Rattus norvegicus: one gene and its partner. The protein of the gene in region 2 interacts with the protein of the main gene of each other region in a pairwise test. Links are inferred from orthologs where the notes say so. Each region holds a gene or a part of one and is shown on either strand. Other genes may lie near its edges.

The links.
Region 1: the proteins of Ncoa6 (region 2) and Nr1h2 interact in a two-hybrid assay, tested with the Homo sapiens proteins (2 studies listed by BioGRID). The link is inferred for Rattus norvegicus from reciprocal best matches to the Homo sapiens genes NCOA6 and NR1H2.

What each region holds. Positions count from the first base shown.
Region 1 is NC_086019.1:104,180,056-104,187,380, reverse strand, and holds the start of Nr1h2 (oxysterols receptor LXR-beta), read left to right. Parts: upstream 1-3,517; 5' UTR 3,518-3,657; intron 3,658-3,756; 5' UTR 3,757-3,888; intron 3,889-4,737; exon of another isoform or gene 4,738-4,740; 5' UTR 4,741-4,758; coding exon 4,759-4,798; intron 4,799-4,874; coding exon 4,875-4,988; intron 4,989-5,151; exon of another isoform or gene 5,152-5,249; coding exon 5,250-5,540; intron 5,541-5,636; coding exon 5,637-5,896; intron 5,897-5,996; coding exon 5,997-6,176; intron 6,177-6,620; coding exon 6,621-6,720; intron 6,721-7,325. UniProt on the Homo sapiens protein: Nuclear receptor that exhibits a ligand-dependent transcriptional activation activity. Binds preferentially to double-stranded oligonucleotide direct repeats having the consensus half-site sequence 5'-AGGTCA-3' and 4-nt spacing (DR-4).
Region 2 is NC_086021.1:164,389,319-164,392,918, reverse strand, and holds the start of Ncoa6 (nuclear receptor coactivator 6), read left to right. Parts: upstream 1-1,143; coding exon 1,144-1,378; intron 1,379-3,600. UniProt on the Homo sapiens protein: Nuclear receptor coactivator that directly binds nuclear receptors and stimulates the transcriptional activities in a hormone-dependent fashion. Coactivates expression in an agonist- and AF2-dependent manner.

The DNA of each region.
Region 1 (7,325 bases), on a different chromosome or scaffold from region 2:
TTCAGTTGCAGGGAATCCGATGCCTTCTTCTGGCATCCATGGGCACAAGGCCCTCAGGTGGTACATGGAGCTAAATAGGGAGAAAACGCTCAGCACGTAAATAAATAATCCTTTCAGAAAATACATACAGGCAAATACATTCATACATATACATTAAAAAAGAATCCAGGATCAGCGAGCCCTGCAGACAAGCATCTCATGCTTAGAACTAAAACTCCTCCCAAGGCCTGGCACGGAGAGGGATATCTGTAATCCCAGTACTCAGGACGCCGAGGCAGGAGAGAGTCGGAGGCATAACAAGACCCTGTTACAAAATAAAAGGCATGCCACTCCAGTATCAAAGACCCCAGCAGGAGCTGGCGGAACCAGATCTTAGATAATGATAGACCAGCTCACAGCCTGGCCTGGCCTGTGCCAACACCCTATGCAAACTTTCCTGTCTCCCTTATCCTGGAGCCACTGTAGGTATGGGGAAGTCAGATTCTCCAGCCTCTATACCTGCTGGTTTCTCAACAGGAGCTGAAGTAGTCTTCAGCCTGCATGCAATTGCTCGCCCACAGTGGTAAGGACAAAAATGGCTCCAGAAGAGGACGGAATACACTCTCGTGTGTGGCTGTCTTTATGGAATACACACTCCTGTGTGGCTGTCTTTATGGAATACACACTCACATGTAGCTATCTTTGGCTACTTTGTGGGTTCTTCTTTCTTCTACCCTTCAACCCCCTAACACTAGATATGAGTGGGGAAAAAAGGATAGATAGGAAAGGAAAGAGATCCCTGAATTAAGTCAGGAGTCAGAAAGGGGTCAAACTTATTGCTAGTCGACTTCCTGCTGATTGGGGCGTTGAGTTCCTTGGGGCAAGTTTGACCTTCGCACTCAGGATATCTAATGTCTTTGTTGCGCAGGACTACTTAACAAATGCCACTAACAGGAACCAACCAACAATCCACCTCTGGGGGCCCTAGCATCGATATACAGAAAAGTTCCCAGATCTAAACATCATACAATCTGCAGAGACTATCTGCAGCTGGCAAAACCATGCCTCTGCTAGGGCACGAGGCAAATCAGTCACCTGTTTCAAAGCAGCCCCATATCCCCACACCTGGGATTAAAACAAAAAAAATATTTTTGTGTAATATCTCTGTGTTTTTAAAAAACCAAAATTCCAGAATTCTCACTACACTCATGCACACATACGGGGATAAAAGTGGTTGAGTCATTTGCTTTGGGGAGGTGATATCCTTTCCCTGTTTCAGAGGGCCCAGGGAACCAGTCCAACCTCAGGCAAGGGGTCCTAGAGGACACTAAGTCATATGTCCTGCTTCCAGGGCCAGCATCTCAGTGAATTCAAACAGCACGTGACAGTTTACTAGTGACACGTATGTAAACATAAACACACATATAAGTATATATATGCTTACTTATTGAATGAAGAACAATGAGGACTTGACAGCTCCCAGGTATGGTTGAGAAGGTTTATTGTAGGTATAAGGAGGAGAACATCCAGAGGCATCTGCAAGAGTCCAGACTGACCTGGGCCTACAGAATAAGTTGGGCCATGGGGTCAGGGGTGAGAGAGGAAGAAAGGGGGAACCAGGACACAAAGAGAACCAAGAGAGCTAAGGAACATGTAGCCAAAACAGCTGGATTATATAGGAAAGAGAATCTTGGAGGAAGAGAAGTGATGCTCAGGGACGGGAAAGGTTGAGGGTAGGGTAACTATATAGTAACAGGCATTGGTGATACTAAGAGAGACTGGTGCCCAGAGTTCACTTTGATATATTAATATGCACCTCAGCCATATTCCCAGGGTTCCTTTGAGACCTAACACTTATCTGAACAAAAGCATGGGTTGGTGGCTGGGTCTCAGGAGTAGATAGATTTTGTGTGTGACTGAGGTAGTGTGGGCTCTAGCCTCAACTTTGTAAGAATTCGTTAGATTAACTAACCATGGCATGGCATTTTTAATCCCAGGACTCAAGAGGCAGAGGCAGGAGGATCTCTGAGTTGGAGGCCAACCTGGTCTACAAAGAGAGTTCTAGGATAGCTAGAATGGTGAGACCATGTCTTTGAAAAAGGTGGGGGGCGGTGTAAACCAGGTAGTGGCAGTAAGTGCTTTTAATCCTAGCACATGGGAGGCAGAGGCCTTGGCCAACTCTCTTATGAGTTGGAGGCCAGTCTGGTCTACAGAAGTAGTTCTAGGACAGCCAAGGCTACACAAAGAAACTCTGTTTCAAAAAAATATACAAGCAAAACAAAACAAAACAAAACAACAACAACAAAACCAAGACCAACAGCAACAAAAGTTAAGTAAAAGCAAGCATTTGCGCTTAATAAAGATTCTCTCAACTGTTGACAAGTCGGAGTTGGGGAGAAACAAATCTCTGAATCTTTTCCATCTGAGGTCCACACAAGTATTTCTATCTTTTGTGAAAAAGCTGGTATTATCACTTTTATGGGAGAGGGGCATAGGCTACTTGTTTATTTATATTGAGCTGATGACCTGTCTTACTACCTAGCTCAGCTTGGCCTCCAACTAAACGCAATCCTCTGGCTTTGGTCTGTTTGATTATTGCAGGCATGCAATTGCACCCAATTTGCCTTTTTATATTTACTTCTTCCTATCACGAAGCTGAATGAAAAAATAACTTCTTATATATAAAAGTTCCAGACGCAGGCACATCAAGAGAGTCCAGAGTTGGGTTGAATAAGAGCACTGACTGCTCTTCCAGAGGTCCTGAGTTCAATTCCCAGCAACTATAGCATGGCTCACAACCATCTGTAACGGAATCCGACACCCTTTTTTGATGTGTCTGAAGACAGGGAGTACTTACATAAAATGTTAGAGAGAAAGAGAGAGAGAGAGAGAGAGAGAGCGAGCGCGAGAGCGAGCGCCAGAGCCTGGACATGTAAGGAGAAGGGGAGAGAGGTGAGCCAGGGGAATAAATAAGGGTAGGCGAAAAAAGAACCCAGTATTCAAAACGACTGGATTATAGAGGGAAGGGCGGGCAGCTGGGGTAGGGCAGCACAACCTCTGAGCTGGAGAAGTTCAAGGTATGAAGAGCCCTCGTGCCTCCATTTTAAGCTTAAAATCATCCTGCAACCATCATGACATCTCCAGATTTAACCTATTTAGAACCAATATACTGGGCTGTAAGTGGATGTGCTTCTGCAACAATGGGGAGGTGGAAGCAGTTGGCTCAGAAGTTCAAGGCCACCCCTTTGAATATGAGATCCTGTCTCAAAATCAAAACCAAAATAAAAACCAACCATGCAGCACTTCTACAAACGTAGAGAACTTTAGACTAATCAAAAAGGGAAACAACTTGCTTTGTTAGTCATGTGTTTAAAGAAACAAAAGAACTTTCCGGAACTTTTTTCTGAGTCCCAGAGGGGAACTACCAGAAGAAATAAACTTCCGGTGTCCCACTTCCGGCCAAGGCATCTCATTCGGTGGCGCCTAGGCAGACCGGAAGTCTGTCACCTTTCCCGGCCCTCCTACTTCCGGAAGTGACGCGCAGCGGGGTTGCCGGAAGAAGTGGCGAAGTTACTTTTGCTTTTCGCTCAGCAAGCGCTGTTGCTCCGAGCTACTCCCAGGCTTCTGAAGTTACTTCTGAAGTGCTGTGGAGGAGCAATCACCGGTGCGGACACAGAGGCAAGTGCACCAGGCGGCAGGGCGGGTGGGGTTGGGACCGGTACGCGGATCTTTGCGGGTCCAGCTTAACGCGCGCCTCCTTCCCTTACTTTGTCGCAGCTCCCGCCTCCCACAGCCATTTCCAGGGTAACGAAGTAGGAGACCCCCTCCTGCGACCCCCTCACGATCGCCGGTGCAGTCATGAGCCCCGCCTCCCCCTGGTGCACGGAGAGGGGCGGGGCCTGGAACGAGGTGGGCGTGACTCCACGGGGCGTGGCGTAGGGGAAGCCTATGTTGGTGGGCGAGGGCGGGACGCACATGGGCGGGAGGCATGCTGTAGATAAAACCCGTGATTGAAGGCTTTCTTGATTCTTGGGGCGGGGCCTGGATTGTTGTTGAGGGGACTGGGGGAGTGGGCAGAGGCGTGGAGGGCGTGGCACAACGAAGACCTATGATTGGCTTTTGGGGAGTTGGAGGGGCGGGGCTAAATCTGGGTATCTGCCCCAGTGTGAGAAGGGGCGGGACCAGGGACCTGATAGGATGGGTAGGGTCTGGGGTCTGTATTGAGGTGGGTTAAAGCCTTGAAGAAGCCTGTGGTAGGAGGGTAATGGTTGCGACCTGATGGGAGAGGCGGGACAAAGTTAGGATCACCTATATGGTAAGAGCACAGTTGGTGCTCACCAAAGAAGAGGAATTAGAGTTGTTGGGCTCTCTTAGTGTTAGAGGGGCGGGAGTTGTCATGGGAGGTCATGAATCATAGAGAGGTGGAGGGAGCAGTGAGTGGGTTGGAGCAGAAGTGGTTGGGGATGTTCAGGGTGATGTTTATAAGGGACTAGGGCTGGCAGTGGGGGCTCAGTATAGAAGTAAAAACACTGAGGTATAGTGGCACAGTGCTGTGATGCCAGCACTTGAGAGACTGAGGCAGGAGTGTGGGGAATATCCCAAGACAGCGTAGGGTAGTGTGTTCCAGGGTTTTGGAGGTGGTTCAAGATGTTCAGCCACATAGTTCGTTTAGCCTGAGCTGCATGGGATCATGTTTCGAGAGCCCTTGAGCATTGGAAGGAGAGACACTCTGTAATTGGCTGGGTCCCCTATGTCCAGCAGGCTGCTTCGTGACCCACTATGTCTTCCCCCACAAGTTCTCTGGACACTCCCTTGCCTGGTGAGTGATGGGTTTTCCCTACCTGGCCCCTCCCACAGTGTAAGAGAAGCTCACTGTTCCCTCTTCCTTCTCCTAGGGAATGGTTCTCCCCAGCCCAGTACCTCCTCCACTTCACCCACTATTAAGGAGGAGGGACAGGAGACTGATCCACCTCCAGGCTCTGAAGGGTCCAGCTCTGCCTACATCGTGGGTGAGACAGGGAGACAGGAACAGGGGTGTGGGACGTTGTGAGGGAAGGGTGGGGAGACGGTGGCCCCTGTCTTTCGGTTCGCTTTTCCTTCCTCTTCCCCCTGACACCTCCGACTCATTCTTGGGAGCCTGCCGACCTGCAGATCTTTCCCTTGGCGTTGCAGCCCTGTCCTCTCACCCTCGCTTCGGGACTTCCCATGGCCTGTTCCCAGGCTGCTGTTTCTCTTTGTCGCTATCTCTCATGGCATCTGCTCACCCCAAGTCATCTTAGAGCCAGAGGATGAACCTGAGCGCAAGCGGAAGAAGGGTCCGGCCCCGAAGATGCTGGGCCATGAGCTGTGCCGCGTGTGCGGGGACAAGGCCTCGGGCTTCCACTACAATGTGCTCAGTTGTGAAGGCTGCAAAGGCTTCTTCCGGCGTAGCGTGGTCCATGGTGGGGCCGGGCGCTATGCCTGTCGGGGCAGCGGAACCTGCCAGATGGATGCCTTCATGCGGCGCAAGTGCCAGCTCTGCAGACTGCGCAAGTGCAAGGAGGCTGGCATGCGGGAGCAGTGTGAGTGCAGGGGCGGGGCTAGACAGAGCGTGGGTCCTCGTCACGGGGAGGAGTAAGTGAGGGTGGGTCCCACCACTGAGGCTGTCTTTCCTGCAGGCGTGCTTTCTGAGGAGCAGATTCGGAAGAAAAAGATTCAGAAGCAGCAACAGCAGCAGCCACCGCCCCCGACTGAGCCAGCATCCGGTAGCTCAGCCCGGCCTGCAGCCTCCCCTGGCACTTCGGAAGCAAGTAGCCAGGGCTCCGGGGAAGGAGAGGGCATCCAGCTGACAGCGGCTCAGGAGCTGATGATCCAACAGTTAGTTGCCGCGCAGCTGCAGTGCAACAAGCGATCTTTCTCCGACCAGCCTAAAGTCACGGTATCGCCCCGCCCGGCCCAGTGGGCAGAGCCCACCCAGGCTAGGGAGGGTTTCTTGGGGCACACGAGTTCCCACGTGACCCTGGCCTTTTGTGTCCCAGCCCTGGCCCTTGGGTGCAGACCCTCAGTCCCGAGACGCTCGTCAGCAACGCTTTGCCCACTTCACTGAGCTAGCCATCATCTCAGTCCAGGAGATCGTGGACTTCGCCAAGCAGGTGCCAGGGTTCCTGCAGCTGGGCCGGGAGGACCAGATCGCCCTCCTGAAGGCATCCACCATCGAGGTACTAATAACGAGAACTAGGCTCTAGGACAGAGGTCAGAGCTGCATGTAGTCCAGGGACATCCTAACCCTCGTGGGGTGTGGCCATCTGGAGCCTCCAGTGAGCCAGCCACGGGGGGAAAGGGAAGTGAGCTGAGGTGGGAGTAATGGAGACTATGGGATGGACTGTCAAAGAGGAAATACGCCCCAGAGACTTGAAGGGAATGGATATTTGAGCCAACTCAAGGATAACTTAAGTTTGAGAGTCAACTGTGCATAAAGTTCTAAGTGCTAAAAGAATCAAAACTCTTGTACCTCACAATAATGTGTGGTTAATGTCCTTGGGTGGGGGCAGTGGGTGGTAAAGTTGGAGAAAGGAAAGCTAAGAATGTCTGGGTGGCAGCCAGTTGGTCTTGGCACATTTGACCTGGGGCAGCTGAAGAGCCCTGTACCTTGTCACCTCCAGATCATGTTGCTAGAGACAGCCAGACGCTACAACCACGAGACAGAGTGCATCACGTTCCTGAAGGACTTCACCTACAGCAAGGACGACTTCCACCGTGCAGGTCTGTGGAAGGCACTGGCTCAGTGTTAGGGTTTCTGCCCCCTGTCGGACCTCCAGATCAGGCACTGGCAAGAGAAAGATCATGTTTAGCAGGACCAGATGCATGGGGAGGCTTTGCTGTCCCCTGGCCTTCTGGCAGGAGATCAGGAAGAAGCACAGGCTGCTGATTGTCTCATGGGGAGCTCATCTGGCCACCTGTCTGATGGTGGGACAGGGCCCCTGCCCATGGCCAGCCAATGCGAACAACTTTTCTCCCTCAGCTTTCGGCTTCCCAGGACACCTTGGGTGCCTCTCAGTATTTTTAGGCACCCACTTCCACTCTTCTACTACACAAGAAGAGTCCTAGGATTCTTTCAGTGTGGCTTACTAGCAGGGCAGATTTAGGGAAAAAAGTGTGTTTTCCCTGTGATCCAGCCTGGGCAAAGGCCCTGCAGCCAGGCTTGAAGGAACCCCACGGAGCCCCAGGCATTCAGGCCTTGGAAGGTGGGACTGGAAAGGATCTTCGGCTTCCTACCCAAGCTCCTTCACTGCCTGGCCCCGGGCCCTCTGCTACTACCCTCCCATCACATCTGTCCCCCACAGCACGCAAGTGCCATGCCAGCTTGT
Region 2 (3,600 bases):
CTGGAATTACAGGTTTGTATCACTGTGCCTGCTTTATGCAGTGCTGGGGATCAACTCCGGGCTCTGTGCATGTTAGGCAAGCTCTATATCAACTGAGCTGTACCTTTAGCCACCTAATTTTCTTAATTTGTGTCTATTTATTTTGGTTAATTTGGTTATCAAAGGACTCTTCGTTTCATTAATCTTTTATATTTTTGTTTTAATCTATTTTATTAACACCTAACATTTATTTTGTCTTTCCTTTTTTTAAAAAAAATGTCTAAACATGTATTTACTTATTGTTTGTGTGAATGGGCTTAGTGTGTGTTTTAAGTTAGACAACAACTTGCAGTTTAATTCTCTCCTTCCACAATATGGATCTCAGAGAGCAAACTTAGCATCAAGCTTGGTAGCAGTCGCAGTTGCCTGCTAAGCCATCTCACCAGTCCTCCTATGTTTTTTGAGACAGTCTCAGGTGCCCAGGCTTAGAAATTGCATTCACTGCTTAACCATCTCATCAGTCTGTTATGGCTTTCCAGCTACTGAGTTTGGTTTGGCTTATTCTTGTTTTACCAAGACCCTGGCATATATCATTAGGTTATTTTTCTTTCTGTTCCTACTTTGAATTGGTTGCTAAATACCCACAGTTTGTAGGCCTTCTCAAGACTTGGTCTTTCTCCCGCTAAGCAGCAGCTTTTTTAGCCTTAAAAAAATCTTTATATTATTTGTTTACTTTTAATGTTATTAGAATTTTTAAAATGCAGCTGGAGAGGAAGTATAATTATTTTATAAAGGATTTTCTGGGTGCTGTTGTTTGAGACCAGAACTGAACTCTGCAGCCCAGGTGTGCTCAACTTGTGATGTCCCTGCTGAGACTTTAGGTGTGTGCTGCGAACACTCAGGTCCGTTCATTCTCCTGTGACACTTTGTATATTCCTCCCAATATTCTAGTCTTACCAAAAATGTAGCAAATGGCATTACGAAAGAAAATTTTATTTAGTAAATAAATTGCATCTTTTGTAGAAGTATAGATGTTTAGATATTTACTAAAATGATATGTTGAATATGTAATGATGTTATAATACTCTGCATCCTCTCCTCTTTTTTTTTTTTTTGAAGGTTTTCTTACTGTTCACTTTGCATATACTTCTGGACTAATACACCATGGTTTTGGATGACCTTCCAAACTTTGAAGACATCTATACTTCCTTGTGTTCATCAACAATGGGAGACTCAGAGGTGGAGTTTGACTCTGGACTAGAAGATGATGACACAAAAAGTGATAGTATTTTGGAGGATTCTACAATTTTTGTAGCCTTCAAAGGAAATATAGATGATAAAGACTTCAAATGGAAACTGGATACAATCTTACAGAGTGTGCCCGGCTTGTTACACATGGGTAATTGCGTTAGCTTTTGCCTCCTTCTTGTTGCTGTGTGCTTTGACAGTTTCCTGCCTACAGCCATGATGCTGGGATTACAGGGTTAGGCCACCATGCCTGGTTTGAAAAGTTTCTAGTAAAGTGTAACTGTATTGTAATTAAACAGTTTTTAACTATATTAACATTTAAACTAGTATGAAGACACCTGATGTGTGCAGAGCACAGATAGCTTTCAGTAATGATCAGATTGGAAGAAACTTTGGTGTCTCTGCCCTGTGGAACCAAGAGCCAAAGTTTTTCGGCGTGTCCAAATGTCATGGAACAGCAGTAGGCCTAACTCTTGGAGCTTGTTTTTACCTTCTCTGATTTCGCTAGGTACCTATAGCTTCCCACACAGCTCATTTAGCCTTTCTCTGGGCCACAGTTTCCTTCTTTAAGAGCACTTTAACTAAACATAGCCTAAGCACTTTTAGAGTTTGTGAGTATATTAATCCCACTGCCTTAGCAAGTGCTCTGTTTTGTTGTTTTACATTAGAACAAGTAAATTCTTTGTTCATATTTAGTATCTAATCGTGTAAGAGCTGGAATGGGCTTAAGTGGCATATAGAAACACTGTCTATAGATAACTGGATTTTGAGAAAGCATTTTCCATAAAGCCAATTTATTAATATTGAAAGATGTAATTTGAGCAGTGGCATGCGCCTTTAATCCCAGTATTTGGGAAACACAGGCCAGCCTTTGTCTGGAGTTGCCGGATATCTTTTATTTCCTTTCTTGTCTGTAAAATGTATTTATAAACAGTACTACCTCAGTTTACTTTGTAAATCTTTAATTGTAAAATACATATAATAGTTTGCCATATTCACAATTTTTATATATGGCTCAATGACACTGAAATACAATTAAAATATGCAACAATTACTAGTAGCATTTTTATAACTCTTATAAACTTCCCATTCCCTACCTACTCAAGCCCTTAATAAGCACCATTGTACTTTTTATGATTGTTTTTTAATTTAAAGTATTAGATTTATTTATGTATATGGTATTTTGCCTACATGCATGTAAATGCACTACATGCATGCAGTGCCCATAGAGGCCAGAAGAGGGCATCGTATCTGCTGGAACTAGAGCTACAGCCATTTGTGAATTGCCATGTGTATGCTTAGAATTGAACCTCAGACCTCTGGAAGAGCAGCCATTTCTCTAACTCTCCAGCCCCCTTTCTTTATTTTGAGTACTATTATTTACCTCATATAAGCAGAATTGTGTATCTTTATGACTGCTTTATTTCATTTAACATAATGTTCTCAGTGTTTGCCCATGCTGTAGCACATGATAGGGTTTCCTTCCTGTTTCAGGCCAAATATCCCACAGAATGTATGTATGTATATTCTGCATTTCACTTACTGTTATCTGTTGCTGGGCAGTTGGATTACGTCTGTGCTTTAGCTACTATGACTAATGCTACTGTAAATGTGGATATACTCTTCCAGATCCTGCTTTCAATTCTTTGGTCTGTATACTTAGAAATAAAAGTGCTATACTATATTGCTGGGGCCAGCCCTGACATTCAGGTTCTGAACAGCATCGGCCAAAAGCCAAAGGCTGATGACCTCTGGCCTTCTAACTCTCTCTTACTGTTTTGGGAGCCAAAAGCTGATTACTTTGGGCAATTTCATAGGGAAGGAAGAAGAAAGAAAGAAAGTCAGGCATGCACACGTATACACGCACACAGTTTGGCTGGGCCTAAACATCTGTCTCATCAATTTCACAAGTGCACGTGCATACTTACATGCATACACATATACTACATACGTATGTACAAGTATACATACATATATACATGTATATACATTTGGTGAATGGGGCAAAACCGCAAAAAGCCATACTTTATTTTTTCTTTCCACCTTTTTATGCCTTCTTAGACGAAAGTTCTTTATAAAATTACCTCACAGAAAAAATGTTACACAAAAGGGAGTTACAGAAGGATGTCTATAGTAAGTTCAGAGCAGTGTTTCATTCTGTAAGCTCATTATAAGTTCAAAGCAACAGTTTCCCATGGCCTCGCTTTACCATAGAGCACACTGTCTTCATCCTTGGACCTGACCTACAATGAATGGTTTTCCTTGATCACAAATCTGTCCTAAGCCGATTTCTCTTCTCAGTGTAATTTATGAAAGCTTATGGTATTCCTTATTCTGCAGCCTTTACTTACAATTCTATGAAGGGGGGCACAT